Mytilus edulis: one gene and its partner. The protein of the gene in region 2 interacts with the protein of the main gene of each other region in a pairwise test. Links are inferred from orthologs where the notes say so. Each region holds a gene or a part of one and is shown on either strand. Other genes may lie near its edges.

Region 1 (10,567 bases), on a different chromosome or scaffold from region 2:
TGACAGTACTAGACTTAAAGGTTGAAATAAGTTTAGTTTTGACTGACTTTTGAAGTCAGCTTGTTTGAGTCAGTTTGCACAACAGTATTTACCTCAATGAAATATTAAAAAAATAAATGTTTTGCTCTTGATAAATTTAGCTAAAAGTGGATGAGAATAGATCCCTTTTTTTTTCCTTGGAAGATTTGAAGTATTGTCATGGTACTAGTAAATGTATCCAATATTGTATTTTATAAATCTTTTGATATTGACAGAAAATTGTATGATCCATTTTTTCTGCTTTGGTTTTTGTTTGTATTTTGAAATGATTGAATTTGATGAGAAAAAAATATTATGTTAAGATTCTGGAAAGAAGAAGGTATGATGAGCCCCACTTTTTAAACTCTTTGATTCGAAACTAGTATTCACTATATTTTATGGAGATTGATAACAAAGTGGTAGTAATGACTGCTTCAAGTCAGAACAAAAATGACCTCTCTAAGTCAAAATGCATTAAAAAGGGACATAAATCTTATAAGAATATGAAGATATTAAGTCACAATATTTTATGCAAAAGCTGACCTGTGGAAGTCATTTTATGATAAATTAAAGTCTGACATAAACTGACCTGTACAAGTCATATTCTGTTGAGTGCAAGAAGGGAGACAACACTTACATCAAATTATATCTGACCTATGGAAGTCATTTTATTCTGACTTGTTTATGTCAGAGCTCTGACTGTATGTGTTTTCAACAAGGGTTTCGTTCCGCTAAATTATTTGCGCAAATAAAGTTTGTCTATTTTTAGATTACAGGTAATAATTTGACACTACGCATTAACCTGTGTAGTGATTTTGATTTTACGATAAATGTATGAATGAACGATAATTTTATGAATGAACAAGAGCACCTGAAAAAAGAAACACAAATTAAACATAAAAAACCGTATTTATTAGGAGATAATTCAGTTAAATTTTCAATACTAAATCAACAACTGAAATGAATCCATATTTTGTTGAAACATCGTACGAACGGCGGAAAACGGAATCGCATTTATAAAAATGTACTTTTTTCACTCGGACTTCTATGTTATTTGATAGTCAAACGGTTGACCCTTTAAATACAAAAATACATCTACAAGAACATATTCTGAAACTTCTTAAACCCACTAACTTTTTTTTAAAGTTTCAAGCTATGTATTGCATTAGAAAACATACATAGGTGTTAAAGAATGACTGACCAGGAGCCTGTTTAACAAAATACTATGGCTTGATCTGGGCGGAGTCTCTGATCTGGGTCACAAAGATGGCCATACGCGACGGCATAAAAGCAATTGCTTTAAAAATGGCAATTATCAATGAATATAGAAAAAACTCAAATAATAGTATTTAACAAATCAGGTAAATTACTGAAAGACTGTAATTTTTATTTTGAGCAAAATCTGATGAAAAGTGTTCAAGAGTATAAATACCTAGGTATTGTAATGAGAGCATCTGGTTCTTTCAGTACTGCAGTTGAAGATCTTAGTAAGAAAGCACTTAACATGCTTAAAGTAATTTTCATGATTAAACGTAAATTTCACTGTACACATAATAATACACCTTTGCTTTTAAAACTTTTTGACTCCTGTGTAAAACCAGTCCTTCTCTATGGAAGTGAATTGTGGGGTCCGTACATTCTTAACCTGGACAAAAGATTAACACAAGGTTCAAATGATGATTTAGAAAAAACTTTTTTAAATTTTGCTCCTGAAAAGGTTCACATTCGATATTGTAAATATGTACTTGGTGCCACTAAATATGCTCCTAATATTGCCAGTATGGCAGAACTTGGTCGTTATCCAATCTCTATATTTGTTATTTTGCAATCTCTTAAATACTGGCTATATTTGTATAAAGACCCTCTTTTGAATTTTTCAAAATTAGCATATAAGTCAATCAAAAAAGTTGATTGTACCTTTCCATGTACCTTCAATAAACACATTTTTAAGTTTCTAAAATTAATTAATTTTGACCATGTTTGGAATAATAAAGGAACTATGTCAGAAGGAAAACTTATATCTGCAGTGAAAAAGATATTACAAGAAAGATATGGAAATTACTTTTTCTCATGTTTGTCAGATGAAAAGCAAAACAAACTACGAACATATTACAAGTTAAAAGAGGAATATAAACCTGAGACTTATACAAAGTTAAATATCCCAAAACAATATGTTAGACAATTATGTAAATTAAGAATTTCTAACCACAGTTTACACATTGAAAAAGGCAGATATAATAAAACGCCTTTGGATCAAAGAATATGTACACATTGTATTGATAACAAAATTGAAGATGAGTTTCATTTCATATATATGTGAATGCAACCTCTATCACGAGGAGAGGGAAATGTTTTATGATGACATTGTTAATATTATACCATGTTTTTGCAATTTAGATAATTTTGATAAATTTAAATATTTAATGAACTGTTCGGAGACTGATGTTCTCACCAGTTTTCTTATATATATAGACAAATGTATTTTGATTAGACATTCATCAGTGGGAATAATTGCATAATATTGAAATGTGAGTTTTGTCTTTTGCTTGTTATAAGTGTCAAAATTGTTGTCTGTTATGTTTTATTTTTGTTTTGTATATGTTTTTTATATGTGTTTATGTGTTTCAGCAATGATCCTTTTGTACTGGATTTTATACTGGGGGTGGGGGTGGGGGTGGGGGGGGGGGTGGGGGCAAGGGGTTTAACTGTTATGCTGTTATGGGGCAATTTTATTCTTTGTTATCTGTTATTTTGAAAATATATTTGCTGTTAGCTGTTATTGTCTTATTCTTTGTTAGCTGTTATTGGGCTTTTAGTTTTTTTGTTATCTGTTATTGTGATAATGTATTTGCTGTTAACTGTTATTGAAAATTGGAATGTTAGCATTTTTTTTGACAGTCAATATTCGGTATAAATTGAAGATCATTGGCCATTGGGGTCTACCACTACTAATATGTTTGTCCCGTATTCAGAGAAGGATTCCATTAACATATACCCATCACAGAAGTGAGGTCCAGGACAATTATGATTATCCTTTGTAATAAATTCCATTTTTTTTATGAATGTGTATTTAGAATTATCTTAATTTTTTGTATGAGAATAATGTTCCTTGTTTTCCGTACGAACATATTAAATTAAAACAATTTTTAATATGACAAAAAGGAAAACATATGGCCAGGAATATCTGACAAGGATCTCAATTAAGGACTAGGTCCTAACAACCACTTAACCTTTTATATAATATTGTACATAGACTCAGCTCTGTGATTCTTTTCAAAGCAGAACCAAATGCATTGTACAATGAAAGTTCCAACCATGTACTTGGGTCCGAAGCTGCACATAACTCATTACAAACAAAGATTTATTTCGTTTCAAGCCATTGTTTCCCTACTAAACTATGTATTCTACTTACTAGTACACTTGGTACAATCAAAAACCTCAGCTGATAAAAAATTGTTCAAAAAAGGCCTTTGAAAATAGTGGAATTAATTGCTTTTAGAGTGTCAAAATTCGTTCGAAGTACTTGATAAATTGCATGCTTATAATTGGTGCTTTTGATTTTTCTACTCTATATACCACTTCGCCTCATAGTTTTATTAAGAAAAAATCACACACCTCATTAAATGGTCATTTAGAAAAATTCAGAATATTCAAACTCTTTTAGGTCACTTTTTTGATTAGCAACAAAGGGAGCTTCAGTCAATATATATAAACAATACACCAACAATTCATGAGAACTGCTGAAAACATTTTTGAGTTAATGTCTGAAAACTGGAAAATCACCCCTTTTTAATTAATAAAACCCGTTAACTCGGAAACGTAAAATCTAAAATTTATAAAAATTGAAAGTTACCTCATGTTAATTCAACAAAATTCCTTGCTTTGTGAAAGCATTTTTGAGATATTATCAGAAGACTGAAAAAAAACCACCAATTTTATTGAATAAAAACCCATTATCCAGAAACTTAAAATCTAAAATTTATAAAAAAAAAAAAAGAAAAAAAAAAGGGAGCTCACGTCAATAGATATAAACAATTTCCCAAAGTTTAATGCAAATGGTTAAAGAGTTTTTGAGTTAATGTCCGACATGTTGACAACAGACGGACAACAGTATACCATAATACGTTCTGTAAACGAGCGTATAAAAAATATTATTTGAGGAGTAATTTAAACACATTCTAGTTACATAAATTAATACTAAAAACATAGTCATAAAAAATGGAACGCATTACAAAGGATTATATCCGCAATAAGAAATACTGATTTGTCAAAGACCGAATTATTTTAATATTTCATTTACTGTTATCTGTTTTTGTCCATTTTAATTCCTTGTTATCTGTTATGAGCCAAATCAATTTGCTGTTTTGCTGTTATTGGGACCCCCTTGCCCCCCCTCTATACTGAATAAAATTAGTTAGTTAGTTAGTTAGTTACACAAAACCAAAAACGTTAAATATCTTTCAAAGGTGTAAAAGGCTTTTTTTTTCTGTTTCGCTCTACACAATGTTTATCATTGCAACATATGCTTTGATATCGTAATTTACCTTTTTCTAAATGAAGCGGTTCAACATTTATCGACGCCATGACTTCCTGGTTGCAGTTGTTTCCCCTTGGAGGGAAGGTCTATTAACAGGACAGATAAAACCAGGACACTTTTTTTCGATACGTTTTTATCTGTAACTTTTGTTTTACTCAACACATGGTTAAAATTTTAATTGTATAATAAAGAAGAAAGTATTTACTAACATTATTAATAAAAAAAACATATAAAAAAAATTAAGAAGTAAGAAAAAATCTGCCAGGACAGTTATATTTTAAGAAAAAAATGGCTGAAATTGCCGTGAAAAGTTTACTTATAATTGGAATATTTTCTCCAAAACAACTGTCTGGCATAATATTTTGGTACGATTGTAAAGTTTATGGAATATCAATTATAAAAATCTATAATTTTATTTTTTTTCCATCTCTTAAAGGTAAAAAAATCTGCCAGGACAGTAGACTTTTACATTAGAAAGTTTGTTGAAATTAGTTCAGGATCAAAATATAAAGTTGAATATCTTCTTCAAAATAAATGTCTGGTAAACAAATGTTAGTTCATTGGAAAGTTTAGAATATACGCTTTATGATAATATAAAATTATATGAATTTTTATGTCATTAACGTAAAAAAAATCTGCCAGGACAGTAGCCTACTCCATTAAATTTTAAGCTAAAAACGGCTGAAATTGCCGAGAATTTTTTACTTATAATTGAAATAAATTCTCCAAATCAACTGTCTGGCATATTATTTTTGTATGATAATAAAGTTTAACAAACTTTTATTTCTAAAATCTACAATTCAATATTTTTTTCGTCTTTTAAAGGTAGGAAAATCTGCCGGGACAGTAGACTATTACGTCAGAAATTTTGTTGAAATTAGTCTAAGGTCATAATATAAAGTTTAATATCTTCTTCAAAATAAATGTCTGGTAAACAAAAGTAGGTGCATTGTAAAGTTTAGAGTATAAGCTTCCAGAAAATATAAAAAAATATGGACTTTTATTTCATTAACATAAAAAAAATCTGCCAGGACAGTTGCCTTATGCGTAAAAAAATTGGTAGAAATTCGCTTAAAATCAAATTAATCTTTTCTTCAAAATTAATGTCTGGCAGGAACAATCATGTTTATAGGAAAGTTCGAATATTCAGCTTTATGGAAATATGAAAGAAAGAAAATACAATTATCTGTGTGTTTATTTAAATAATATTTACTTATTTGCTATGTTGAATAATTTGATCTATTTTCAGATTTATTTATTAAAGGCAGCAGACATATCGTTGAAAGGGCATGGGCTTATATTTTATTAATCAAAAACATTTCAATTATACACATACATATATATAAAATAAATAATCATGCAAAACAATAAAAACCAAATAAAATAAAAACTATAATATCCCAAATTAAGTTTTGACAGTAATAAAAACTTCAAAGTCACTGATTGGTGTCAAATCATCAAAGGTGTTTATTCACTAATTAGTAATGTGTTTAGAGCAAAGGAATGTGTCACCATCTTTTAATCCGGTACATGAAAAGTGTTTCCATTATATGGTCATTTTTATAAATTTTCTGTTTACAAAACTTTGAATTATTCGAAAAACTAAGGATTTTCTTACCCCAGGAGTAGATTACCTTAGCCGTATTTGGCACAACTTTTTGGAATTTTGGGTCATCAATGCTCTTCAACTTTGTATTTGTTTGGCTTTTTAACTATTTTGATCTGAGCGTCACCGATGAGTCTTATGTAGACGAAACGCGCGTCTGGCGTATAAAATTATAATCCTGGTACTTTTGATAACTATTTACACCACTGGGTCGATGCCACTGCTGGTGGACGTTTCGTCCCCGAGGGTATCACCAGCCCAGTAGTCAACACTTCGGTGTTGACATGAATATCAATTATATGGTCATTTTTATAAATTTTCTGTTTACAAAACTTTGAATTATTCGAAAAACTAAGGATTTTCTTACCCCAGGAGTAGATTACCTTAGCCGTATTTGGCACAACTTTTTGGAATTTTGGGTCATCAATGCTCTTCAACTTTGTATTTGTTTGGCTTTTTAACTATTTTGATCTGAGCGTCACCGATGAGTCTTATGTAGACGAAACGCGCGTCTGGCGTATAAAATTATAATCCTGGTACTTTTGATAACTATTTCCAACTGTTGCATTTTTTAACACCTTTTTGCCATTCACATCCTAACATGTCTTCTACTGAATCACATTTTCCACACTCACAGTTACATTCTACAACACTGGTTTTATATTTCGGTTTACCTTTCATGCTAATTTTTTTTTTTGGAAATGGAATAAATTCACCTTTTTCCAAACAAATCACAAGATGTTCTCTTAAAAGTTCAGTGTCAAATTCTACATGTATCCCACCTGAAAAACTTGTAAAACAAAATTCTACAGCATTTGCAATTGCAAACAACCCACAATCTATGGAATTAGTTTGTTTCTGAACTTCTGGTAACTTGACCAAAAGCCTTTTTTTACCATGTGAATATATTTGTGAAAGCTGTATTTCTGAAGATGTTGTAAGTGTGTCATACACGCTGTCCAATAGATAGACTTCATTTGATTGTTTGGTTAAAGAAGTGACCCAGTGTGAATGCCCTGTATGGTGAATTTGTACAGCTGGAGCCTGTGTAGGTGTAAAACTTGTCTCAGAAAGCCATTTTTTTTGTTGATTACAGAAAACTGGAGCATAACATGTGTTCTGAAAACCATGGATTAATGGAAACTGTTTTGAAAGAATGTTTTGTGCATAATTAACAATGTCGGAAGTTAAGCACTTACTATCTGAAATAGTTTTTTTGTCTACTTGTGTAAGTGTACCTATCCATGGTTGTTTTTTTTTCCTGTTCAATTTCAATCGAAATTGGCGGAGATGGAAAGTCAAGTTTTCTCTTTTTGACCTGGTGGTGTGTCATCTAATGTAATTATGTTATCCTTTTTTTCGTCTGGTGAAATAGGACATGTATCAATTTCTTCCTCGCTAACAGTCTCCAAATTAAAGTGAAGTTTCTTTTTAGAATGTGGTGTTTTTGATTTTGTTTTTAATGCTGATTTCTGTGGTGATTTCTGTGTTGAATGTACTTGTGAAGGTGTTTTTGGTGTGTTGACTAAATAAGCCGAGTCTGGAGCTGGTTCTACAACAGGATCGTAATCGTTTTGCCTAGGTTGTTTTTTTCCTGATTTTTTGTCAACTCTCTTTCTGTTATTTTTTGTTAAAACTCTTAGACTAACTACTGGTCTTTTTTCAATGGGTTCTTGACCAATGCTCATTTTTGCTGCAAGGATATGAAAGCATGTAGTAGTAGATGGACACTGACAAGTTTCCTTCGGAAATAAAGTGACACAATACTTACCATTTCGACCTTGAACAATGAAAGCTGCTTGAGATGGAACAAGTGTGATTAGGTTGTTGTCAACTATATACTTTGCCAAAGCGTGCTGACTACTAACAAAAGCAGGAAAGTCAAACATAGTATTAATGACTGGAGTGTCTTTTTCTTTTGGTGTGGTGGGTGTACTATGTTCAGTTTTAGAATCGGATAGATCTTCCACTGTTTCTGTCGTTTCAGCAGACGGAGACGACAACTGTGGTGTATTTATGTGTGCTGTTTTCAGGTACGAAATTATATCGGATGGTGCTATGAGTTTCTTAGGTATGAACAAATCGTGTATGTCAATTTTTGCCCTCGAAAACTCTGTTTTTAAATGATAGTCCCCAACACCTGCCAAACCTCTAAGAATCTCGTAGTGATCAAAATTTTGTAGAAAATGAAAACCCAAAGCAAGCATATCAACTGGTAACTCTTTCCAATCGTTTTCTTGTTTTAAAACAGCGTTATAACTTTCTGACAGATTGTTTGTGATACCTGAGTATGGGTCATATAAACCTTCAAACTGTTCTAAAACCCATTTTCCTGATCTCTCTAAAATATCAGTTTTTAGCTCTTTTTCAAAATATGACACAACTTCGGATGTCCATTTAGATGTCAGATCTTTGGAAAGCTCTAAGAATTCATTCTCAGAGTCACATTGAAGCATCTGTTTTAACTGATGATGATATAGCCTGATATTATCAGGAGAAACTTTTTTTTTATTCAACCAGTACTTAAAATCGTTTCGTAAATGATTCCAGCATGTAAGTATAGGACAATCAGGCAAAATATTTTTAATAGCTTTTCGTATACCAGCTTCTCTGTCCACTACAATGGGAATTCTTTTTTTGGAAATTTTCGGAACAGCAAATTTCAAAAAGTTAAATAAAGTCTCGTGAACACTTCCAAATTTTCTATCATGAATAACAAAAGCCAAAGGAATAAGAGGTGTCTCTTTGAAAAGAATATGTTTAAATACTATGGCCGAAACGTAACAATCACCTAGGTTGAATGTGGTGTCATAAGATAAATAAAGCTGTTCATCAGATTTAACATCTAAGAGTTGGTTAAATTGAGTGATGATTTCTGGTAAGCTTACAACAGCCACTAAATCTGGGTAAAGTGTTAACTGTTTCACGAACCCATCTAAATGGGAAGATAGCTGAAAAAAAATATATAAATCATCTCTACTCAATAACTGATCACCTCGCCGCTTCTGAAGTGCATTCTTTACCTGTTTGCTATTCCTAGGATTAGCTACACCTTGCATGTTACCCTCGACTTGTTCAGAACATACCATAGTCCTATATAATTTTTTGGCACCCTCACTACCTACATGGTCCTTTACCTTATCAATTACTGATGGCATTGTTCTTTTGAACTCACCATCATGTTTGCTATTACCATGTGCCATAGGTGTATATATCGTCTCATCGCCAATGTAATGAACCAAAACCAATGTAGGTCTATTTGTCAACCAATAGCCGACCTTTTTGAATTTTAATGAAAACCTCGGTCTTACACGCCCAGATTTTATCTCAGTACCTGGAATTCTTACTTTGTAAAAAACTTTACCTATTTCAACACCCTTGATCTTAATTGTTCTACCTCCATCACGTATCCACAAGTACTGATCACACTTCCAGTCCTCCGTGTTAATAGACTCAATGACAAATATATCACCTGCTTTAGGTTTTATTGGTGGCAATGAAGTGACCTTACTCATGTCAGGGTCTGACAGAATACTAACGATTGTCTCCTTGCTTTCGTGAGATTGTCTTCCCAGAGGTCAGGATAACATGTCTCTGGGATAACTCATCGCTCTGGACAAAATTCGAACAATCGTCCACAAACTGACAAAATTAATATTCATAAATGATTTCAATAAAAGTTTGTTTATCAAGGATTTATAGTAAATATACAAATCATTGTCGCTATATATAATAAGACAGAGGCTATACTCATGATTTTGACAGCTCCGCAAAATAGTTTCTTTTCTTCTCTTCTTCAAGTTTTCCAGTTTTCCATCTTAATAAAGGTGATTAATACCTGGTGCATAAGTGGCATGTTTATTTAAAACTAGTTAATGTTTTGTTAAAAACAAAACAAAAAAGTTGGTGGCTATTTCACCGGCTGCGGCTCCGGTAGTGTTTTGCTATTTTGTCGTGTAAAAAAATAAGAATAGAAAAAAAAAATAGAAACATAATACACATGATACACTTAGATAAAAAAATCTCTATACAAATATATCTCTTTGAAACATTTATACAAATCGTGCATATTAAAAGTGATCTTCCTTACTTTAATAGAAGTCTCTTAAACAACTGAGTCTTTTAAAGCATTTTCAAAAAGCCGATAACTATCAAAATAGATACTAGTTTTCTTTTCTTTTCTAGGAAGTATGTATTTAAAAACAAGAAATAATGTGTCCATAGTACACGGATGTCCCACTCCCACTATCATTTTCTATGTTCAGTGGACCGTGAAATTGGGGTCAAAACTTTAATTTGGAATTAAAATTAGAAAGATCATATCATAGGGAACATGTGTTCTAAGTTTCAAGTTGATGTAACTTTAACTTCATCAAAAACTACCTTGACTGACAAAAATTTTAACC
Region 2 (10,399 bases):
TAACATAACTTATTATAACAACATGAGGCTTTATCAAGGGTAACTTTAGTTGCTAGTGTAAAACTGTAAATATATTACAGGTACAAGTGACATCATGAAGATGCTAAATATATATATACAAAAGAAGACTTCCCAAGATTCCAGAATCAGCTTGGTACCATTTCTTTCTTGAACTAGTAGCATTAAAAGATAATCTGTCAGAAATCTGAATGAGGTGATCTTATCAATAAGACAGTTCAAGATAAACTGTTGAAGCCTATGGAGATGCACTCAAAATTGAGCAGTAATTCATATTCCTTTAATACATACATTGTATAAACATGTATATGTATGAATTTATTAGGCTAACAAATTTGTTAGAGAAGTACTAAAACATTGTTCTATGAGCATCAGCTTACTCAGCTTTTAATTCAAAACTTTTTTTTAAATTCTGCTCAGAAGTTCTACATGTACATGTACAAAATGTACATTGTAAATTAAAGTCATAAAAAACGAGTAACCGGTGAAAAATATTGTTCTTACAATTCTTGAACCAATGCATACAAACATCATAAACTTAGTCTTCTCACTCTTCTCTGCACGAATTTATCATTTTTTCGCATAAATTTCTTTTAAGGACATCAATGCGTATTGCGATCACCAGATTTTTACGGGATGGGGCACACTGAGGTCACTTTGCATACGGAAAATATGTCGGGGGAATTGCTTCCTGGAAGGATGCAATTAAAATAAAGTAAACTTCTTCTAAATATGAATATATTAAAGAGTTTTCTTCAGAAAAAAGTATATGTACATAAATTTTATAATGAAAACTATCCATTGAGTTAAAACATACGCATTATTTTTTTAATTTGAGGTTTCTTATGACTTTAAGTGACATGCATATATATTCGATTTCCATCCACTAGGTTAATATAAAATTAATCTCATGATATAATTGTACATCTTTTGTTTCTTCCACCAAAAGACAAAAAAACTTGAAGAATACTATAAAAATCACTATATGTCCATTGAAGCTATATACATGTATATATATATACTATAATGTACTATGTACATGCATGTTTTTGTAACATGCATATATACTGGGTACATGAATATGAACTTATATATATAATGATACTATAGGTAAGGAACATTTAAACAGCATATCCTCTATATCATAATCTCAGAGAAATTTTGAACAGATAAGAATTAGTGGCATGTTTTGAAATGTTACATGTCATCACCAGTTCAAATAATCAAGTTGATAACTTTAATAATTAAATCAATATGAAATTAGTAACAAGATGATAAATGTAGTAACATATATAATTAATAGACTAAACACTATCTGTCTGATAAGAGAACAGAACTTCTTACTACCCCCAATAGAGATCACAACATATTAATGTACTGGTCATGATCAGTAGAATAAGAACAAAAAGAATTTCAACATGTTGATTTAATAGAAAATACTGCCTTATCAATTCCATCTCAAAAGAAAAATGTCTCCATGATGAAAGATATATGCTGTATCATACTGACCTAAAACAATATATGAATGTATGTACATTGTATGTTTGATTCATTTCCCTGCTAAAAATTGTTTTGCCATTTCAATTTTCTTGGGGTGGAAATTGGGTATTTAAAATGTACAAAAAAATATATAGTGATGAACCATTATTGAATTTTTTATCAAAATCTGAAGTTGATCAGTTGATATTTGGCCTTTTTCTGCTTCAAATTGACAACTACTACTGATAAGCATACAGTACAGTACATTCAATGCCAATGAATTACTATAAATTGTCCACAAAAATGTATACATGTACAAGTAGTTTAGAGAAAAAAAATCTAAATACTTTTTTTTTAAATTTACATAATTGAGAAATGAAAAAGTGTTACAATCATATATTTTTCAATGACAGAAAAATGAATTCTGTCAGACTCCTTTTGATCTGGTGAGCATGTGTTAAGCTGCAAGAGGAAGCTGTACAGAAATAATTTGGGAAGTTCCATGTCTACCAATATGGAGACAGACAGTGAGAAACTGTCTATGTGAAACCGCATATGTGTCAGACATATCCTTTCCTTGTCAAAATACTGAGATACTTGCAAGGACCAAATTTATGCATATGGTGCAAAAGAATAAGGGGCTGGGTACTGCATAAGTGAAAACTAAAAGACGAGTCTGGTTCAGCGTGTGATGTTGGGTGCCATATCCTACACCCAAACAACTCAACTATGCACATAAATTTCCCAGCAACCATCACATGTATGCCTCTCAATACAGACATCAGGTTTTGGCAACACAAATTATGCCAAGTACCTTCGAGTCAGGTGAAGGAAAAATCTACTTGATTTTATTTTAGCTTCAATAGAAAAACTTGCAAGCACTAAATATCCTGTTTTTAGTTTTGATAAATGAAGAAATTTAACAGAGAAAGTAAGCAATTGCAATACCTGCATAAAGTTAATCACTTAATGTTTGAATAAAAGTATTGTGGCAACAAAAATTAAACATTTAAATTTTTTGGGTGCAGAACTCACAAATTTCATGCATTTTCATTCATGTTTCCTGGAGGAGGTTTTGGCTTGCTACGACACCCTGAGGCTGACCTTTTAACGAAAATAAAAATTGGCTCCATGCCCCTTTTCCGTCATATTTTAAAACGCCTTACCGTAATTTTTAGCTTCATGTAAGTCTAGAAATGATAATTTTATTACTATAATGGATTTAAATTAAAAACGGAAAAGTATTACATGTAATAAGCAAGTATAAAACAATGGTATATTCAATTAAATCCTTACCATTACTGTGCCTTTATATCTTTGTAGAGAGTGCTCTTAAAAGTGTACAAATGTAATCCTCTGCGCAAAATGTACCCTTACAATGTATCCAATTGCGCAAAATGTACCCTTAAAATGTATCCAATTGCGCAAAGAGTGCATTCTGAGAAGAACTTTATCTGCCATTTTCAAAAGCTTCAGGAAACACTATTTATACATTTGTAAATTTCAGATGTCATATTTTCATTAATCTCGATGATTACAATATATGACATCAGTCTAAGATTTGCTTTTTTAATGAAGTCATTGTAAAAAAAATGAATAAGGAATGTTCAAATGAGGTATAAATGGTTAATCTACTGCATCTATCTATAATTTTGTGAATTTCCTAGGTTAGAACAGGGTGTGCACAGAATGTACTGTTGAATATGATTTATTTTTTAGGAAAGCCTCTAATTTCTTCTCTTTTTTTTATCAGTTTACCTTTTTATACTGTACTGTAGTGATCACATTTTGTACATGTTGTTCTTTCATAAAATTAAAATTTAAGTACTGCTAATGGTAATAATGGAAATTGCACTATCATTTTAAGTGCAACAAGAGTATTGGCTGTCATAGTGTGTGAGTAAATGACAATATATAATATATATTCCTATAAATTTGCTTGAATACTAAATCATTTAAAATTAAAACAATCTACTGAATCAGTATGCAATTTTGCATGGATAACATTTGTGATTTGTATAGATTCATATGCCCTATGAATGCGCCCTTTAATTAGGAATAAATACATTTGATAAGATATGAATACTTTGTCAGAACTTTCTGATGTTTTGATGTTGCATTTGATAACATCCGACCTTGACAGTTGCAAAATATGGCGACAGAAAACATATAATTTGATTTTTTTCCCGTAGCTTCTGAACATTTTAACTTCAATGACAATGTTAACGAAACTATCTTCGCATATAACAGTTCTGTTGTAGTGTACACAAATGTATTGCCCATTATTTGACAGTAGACGGACAAGTTTACAAGTAAGCGCTGTTACCGTCTTCACCGGCAGCAGAAGCCGGTCGGACATTACAAATTATCTTTTGATGAGTTGAACAGGGGCGTGCTTTCATAAAGTGGTTATTGACGTTCAATTACTTACCTTTGTTTCTGCTACGAAAATTATTTGATCGTTCGTATGAAAGACTACAATCCCCGCCAATTTTATATTGGCCCCTTTGAACACAGACAAGGCTTTCCCCGATATGCAAATGAGTTGTTTCTAAAATTAGTTCCACTGGCTATTCCATCTTTTGAATACACCCGTTGTTATCTCAAGTGAATGTTCTGAATGTTTTGATAAAAGCAAGCATGGACTGTAAATTATACACTGCATGGGACACTAATATTTTTTTTAAATAAATATTTTTTAATATAAACAAATGCGATATGCTTCAAAGTTATGGTATACACAACAACATACTTAAGAAAGAGGGAGGAAATTCACCGGAAATATGCACCAGCTACCTGAATAATGACATCACTCACATTTTTGTCTGTAAAGGGAAATCATTCATACTCCAAGTTTGAATAGGCGCAAAATTTAAAATGATTTATTATTTGGAAATTACACCATATATGGGTCAATAAAAAAAAATCTTCTCAGGTTTTTTTTTTTATTTAGCCTATGATAAGGTAAGATATTTTTATTCCAATTAAAGGGCCCATGAATAATAGCAAAGTAATTTATTACAATGATTTTTTTATAATTGACACAATAATGGCGGGGGGGGGGGGGGGGGGGGGGGGGGGGACAATAATACCCTGTTGTGACCCTTTTCAAGGTTTTGTTAACTGTTATCTGAGGTAAATTTAAGCTGTAAACTGATTTTCAACCCACTTTGTTAACTGTTAACAGCATTTTTGTATTTGTAAACAGCCAGATCAGATCCACACACATATTAGAAAAAAAGGCATAAGGGGACGACCATTTGATATGGGGGGGGGGGGGGGGGGTCACTCAGCCTTGATAATCCCAAAAATAAATGGTTTGTTCTGTGATAGTTTGCAAATAAATTACCTGACTTGAAATGTATTAAAAATAAATAAATCAGCAGGTATAATCGAAAGATGGCACCAGATTCTTCATAAATTCATCTTTTTTCCCCCAAAACACTTCCCTATTTTTTTTAATAATAGAGGAATAAATATTATCTAAATAGACTTGAAATGTCTGAAAATTGGTTTCATTTAACTGGAGGTATATTGTATCAGGAAACCTTACCTCACTTTTATTTTATTACAGGGCCGTAACTACATTGAGGCAAATGCCTCATGTAGGAAATTTCAAAACCAAACTCTTGTCTCCATATCAAATTGGGTTCACGGCGAGTGCCTTGCAAGAAGCAAGTTCTGTTTTCCCTCAGACTTACATTTGTAGCCCTGCTTTTTCGGGATCAATAATTCTTATTTATTTGTCTTTTGTTCATTGATTGCCCTTCTGTATTCTGTTAGTGTTGCATTCCTTTTGTAATCTAGTAATTTTGTTCTGAACTTGAACATGAATTTAAAAAAAAACAGCAGCCACAGACTTAATTATGTGAATTTCATTTTTGCTTTATCATGCACATTGGTCTTTTGATGTTGTCCCTAGAAACTTAAGTCTTACACTGATTATTTTTGCTTTGAGACCAACATATTGTCAAAAAATTATTAAAACAAAACTTGCATTTTCAGATTAAGAAAGGGTCTTCGGAACACCCAGAAAGCATAATTTTGCATCATTTGTTCTAGTGCTGGTAGATTAGAAAGACTTGTATATTACAGTCGACCATTTTACTGTATGGCTATTGACACCGTAGCTATTTATAAGAGTACAGTTATATACTAGTACTACACTATATGTTGTATGTACTATATATTTACTACGTTTATTCATACATTCATTCATAATTCATTCATTCATTCATTGACGGACAATTAGAAAAAGACTTTACTCTATATACTACTCTGCACGAAGTTATTATGCATGCAACCCCGCCACTTTTTCTAGCACTATATATACGGCGAACTCGGACTAATGCGAGTTTCACACACTTTAGCACACACGCTACATAAGGGACACCTAACTTTTTCCCTACTTTCAGGTAAGCACATTTTCTTTTAGGCCTTATCATGCATGTACTTCTATCCAATTCATAGTTCAATTTATAAGGAAATTTCAAGTTAACATTTGAAATAAATGTTTATTATAATTATGTACTTTCAGTGTGAAATACATGGTTTGCAACATTATATTTCGTCACATATTCAACGCCCTATTTACGAAGATCAAGTGGCCATATTACCCTATGACACTATAAATATTATACAAAAGAGTATGATACGCATACTAATCCTGCTTCTATTTGAAGCGTACGGATACGTTTGAATCATTGTTTATGTTGCAGTTTACTTTGCGATCCCCGTTAAAATGCTGTTGTTTTAATGAAAAGTCACGTCGGTAAAATATAAATACATGTATTCATGAGTGAATTATAAAATGTCTGTTAAAACATTAGTTTGTACTGTACATTGTAGGAATATAAAACGTGTATTCGTACTCGCTCTAGAAAGCTCTGCAAACACTGCCATTATCTGGCATTTAAATTAAAGCTGTCACAAATAAATGGCGCATATTCCGACAATAAAAGAATTTTGTATTTGTAATTTTCAATGACGATTGTATGGGAGGTTGTAACATTAGTATGAACGCGGCAAGCAGATTAGCTACATCCAAATATTCAATATGCTTCGAATTGTTAAAAATTCATTTGACCTGAAATATAATATTTGCAAAACATAAATTACCTTTATAGCAATTAATAATTGGTCGGACTTGTTAATTTAGAAACAATCACTTCAGCCTACCGATAAATTGTAAAGCCTATATGTTATACCTTAGCATAATAGCTTTTGCAAAAAGACTTTTTAAACCTCGATTTTTTAATACATCGAATCTTACCCTTTGGACCATCGCACTTTAGCGTGATACACCATCGTACTTTAGCGAACAAAAACAGTCGCACTTTAGCGTGAGACACCATCGTACTTTTAAAACACATGGTATGGGTAAAATCTCTTTGTTCTTACTGTGCTATAATCTGGATAATGCACAGCAAAGGTGTACCTCAGATATACTGCACAGTTCAAATCTATTTTAACCTTTAGGGGAGGTTCCTAGATTTTGAAAGGGGCGTTATTCTATCAAATTAAAAAAAAATATATCACCGAGCGTCGCGAGACTAAAAACAATATTGACGATTTTAAGGCAAAACACGATAATTTGTCCAATCCTAGGGTGAACGACATGTTCGTCCCCACCCCCGAATCCGCCATCTGCCTTGAAATTACGACAAAACTGAACTTTGTACAAACATCGTAGTTTCAGAATAGGAAAAAAAAAGGTTTCTCATTCCTTTTTTTCATCTTAGCTTGAACATAAAATGTTTCAGTATTATATTTTGCGTACAACATAAATCTTAAATCAGTGTTTTAAAGTCAGAAAGAAAGTTAAAACAATTTTTGGTAACTTCCGCCAAAAAAGAAATGTATCTAAGAATATCCGAATAAAAGAAATCTGATTTGGACTAGTTTTAGATTCAATGGATTTTATAACGACTTCTTACACGGTGGGTATGGTTGTCCTGCGAGAGAACGTACTGTGCTGGTGATTTGGTCCTGACGGGTGCTGGTGGGTCCTGATTCTGTGCTGGTGGGTTTGTTTACATTGTATCAGAACGGCAATAAAACGACTGTTTTGTTGCTTAATTTTTCTCTGATGTGTCATAAGTACCATGCAAAGTATATTACAACAATATTATATTGCAAAAGTCGTGCAAGTTCGTTAAACGGAATTGTCCTGACGCTGTGCTGGTGATAAGAAAAACGGTCCTGGTGCTGTGCTCCTATGTCCTGGTTCTGTGCTTTTATATTTTGTTAAAAGTGGCATATATTCAAGAGCATTGATGCTGTACTGTTGTTGACTAATTAGCTGTTGTCTGCTTTCTTGAAATTGACATTGTTGTGAATCTGTTTACTGTTATTATGAGAGAAAAAATACCCCTATTTAAAAAAAAAAAAAAATGAAATTAACTGTAATCTTATTTATTGGCCTGTTAATGGAACCCTTCTTGCCCCCTTTTAAGATAAGAAAATATGTTTACGATTTTCGGGATTACGATCATTTTGCAAGATCACCAAAATACGTTGTAATTTATACAATACTTAATATAATGTAGATGATGTGGTATGTTTGTTGTCAATGGACAAATTTCCATAAGAAACCAAAGGAAGTATGTGTTAACAACCATACGTCATCGTACGACCTTCAACAATAACCCATAAAATAAAAATGTGAAAGGTTTTGCATAAATATAGAACAAAGGACTTTCTGAGCGTTTGAATCATGTCTTTAGCAGCTTAAAACACATTTGTTTGTGAACAATTGAGTGTTGACTATAAGAATGACAATAGTATTGCGGGTTTGTTTGTTTGGTGTTTTTTTTGGGGGAGGGTGGGGGAGGGAGGGGGATAAGTTAGAGCGAGGTTACAGTGAAAGCTTGGAATAGTTTCCCGTAAAATTTTAAAGGTGGGTTGTAAAAGAAAAATGTATCTTATATTAGCCTTGGTCACACCTTACCGGATAGCTCGAACGGACGCCTAACAGATAACTTTTTCTCAATCCGTTCATGTCCGTTGGACGTCCGTTCTTATCCGTTAGGCGTCCGTCCATATCCGTTGCATGTCCGTTAAGCGTCCGTTTTATCCGTTGACGTCCGTTCTGTCCGGTGGAAAATTTTGAGCATGTTCAAACTTTGAACGGACGTCCAACGGATAAAATGTCCGTTGAACGTCCGTTAGGCATCCGTTTTGTACGGTACTCGTCCGTTTTGTATCCGTTATGCATCCGTTGGAGATCCGGTAGACCAATTCACCAACGGATGTCTACCGGACGCCTAACGGATAAAACGGATATTAACGGAAGGATAACGGATAAAACGGATGACTACCGGATGTAAAATGGACAAATGCCAATTGAAATTTCTCATGGTTTATTGCCTTTAATTTTTAGATGGTTTATTGCCTTTAATTTTCAGATTATTTTGTTCATCCGTTTTATCCGTTACGCTTCCATAGCGGTGTCTGTTTTATCCGGTACTCGTCCGTTGGATGTACGTTCGACGTCCATTCTGTCCGTTACGTATCCGTTTCACGTACGTTCAGTGTCCGTTGTGTGTCCGTTTGGCATTCGTTACATGTTCGTTAGTACACCAACGGACTCCCAACAGATACAAATTTTGTCAACGGATAACTTTTTTTTTATCCGTTAGGCGTCCGTTCGAGCTATCCGGTAAGGTGTGACCGAGGCTATAGCTATTAAGAATCACGCTGTAAGATTTTTCCAAAATATTTTTTTTTGTCTAAGCGGTTATCAGGTATTTGTTTTTCGAAAATTCGATAAAACACTAAAAAAATCACTATTTTATATGAAAGGGCAAGCTAGAATATGTCAGAGAATGAAGACGAGATAACCTAGAAAACACTAAAAAAACCTAAGATTTCTTAGCTTTTTCATTTCAAAATAAATATTTTTGATAAAGAATTACGGGGGAGGAAGTGAACAATGTGTCCTACTTTTCTATATTTAAATATTTTTCATGAATAAAAATCAAATGTGCCTTGATTATAATTGAAAATGAGTAAATGGAAAAAATACCCAACTAAAATACACTTTTATTTTAATATTGGTAATATCACTAAGCTTTTAAGTTTTGTGTGTCAAACACACCATCTCTGTAGTTATGACTCCTTACTAAGATATTTCACTTCATTCATTTTTTTTCTGCATTTTTTTATATTGTGAATTCATAGAATTATTATATTAAAATGTAGCCTTAATTTATATTTAAAAAACATAAACACGCCTGGAAAGTAAAATGCGTACTCGGCTGTCTGTAATCGACCATTTTTAGACACCCCAGGCTCCTAAAAAACAAGCCGGGGTGGGGGTTCAAAGATGCAAATTAAGTACTTATATCAATATTTTATCTTTTCGTGTACGGTTTATGACAATGTCAATTACGAAATGTGCATATATCAAGGGGAAACTTCTTGCAAAGCATTATTATTTATTATAGTTCATTATTGTATTTAGTAGAAAAAAGAGAATTTAGTGAAAATAAAATCACTATTTTTGTAGAAAATTCACAGACCTTTGTACAGAGATTTTTGTTAAGTTTACCATGGGATCAACACAAGGGTTCATTACCGAGTAAACAAATCAAAATGTCTATCTACCTTGCACATTTCAGAAAATTCGGATCAGATAACGAAACTAGGTCCAGCAACATTTATAAGCAATTTAAGATTTTGACCCTCACAGTTTCCATTCACCACAAATATTCTCGTTACAACGAATCATTTTAAATACAAAAATACCAGTTGCAGCCTTTCGTTTATCTATTAATACATGTATACGGATGAAGTTATGAAAGGCAGCAGGGTCATCAGGGTGAGGAGTCCATGTCATCTGAAATAAATGCTAAGCATAGATCTAGAAAGCGACAGATAATCATGACATTAACTTAAACTC

The links. The genes of interacting proteins can lie anywhere in the genome.
Region 1: the proteins of alpha-adducin-like (region 2) and protein lin-7 homolog C-like interact in a two-hybrid assay, tested with the Caenorhabditis elegans proteins (3 studies listed by BioGRID). The link is inferred for Mytilus edulis from reciprocal best matches to the Caenorhabditis elegans genes add-1 and lin-7.

Annotation. Positions count from the first base shown.
Region 1 is NC_092350.1:93,078,299-93,088,865, reverse strand, and holds the start of protein lin-7 homolog C-like, read right to left. Parts: upstream 4,636-10,567; 5' UTR 4,603-4,635; coding exon 4,563-4,602; intron 1-4,562.
Region 2 is NC_092347.1:57,416,432-57,426,830, reverse strand, and holds the start of alpha-adducin-like, read right to left. Parts: upstream 4,261-10,399; 5' UTR 3,929-4,260; intron 1-3,928. UniProt on the Caenorhabditis elegans protein: Membrane-cytoskeleton-associated protein that promotes the assembly of the spectrin-actin network. Plays a role in time-dependent memmory loss and the retention of conditioned behavior over time.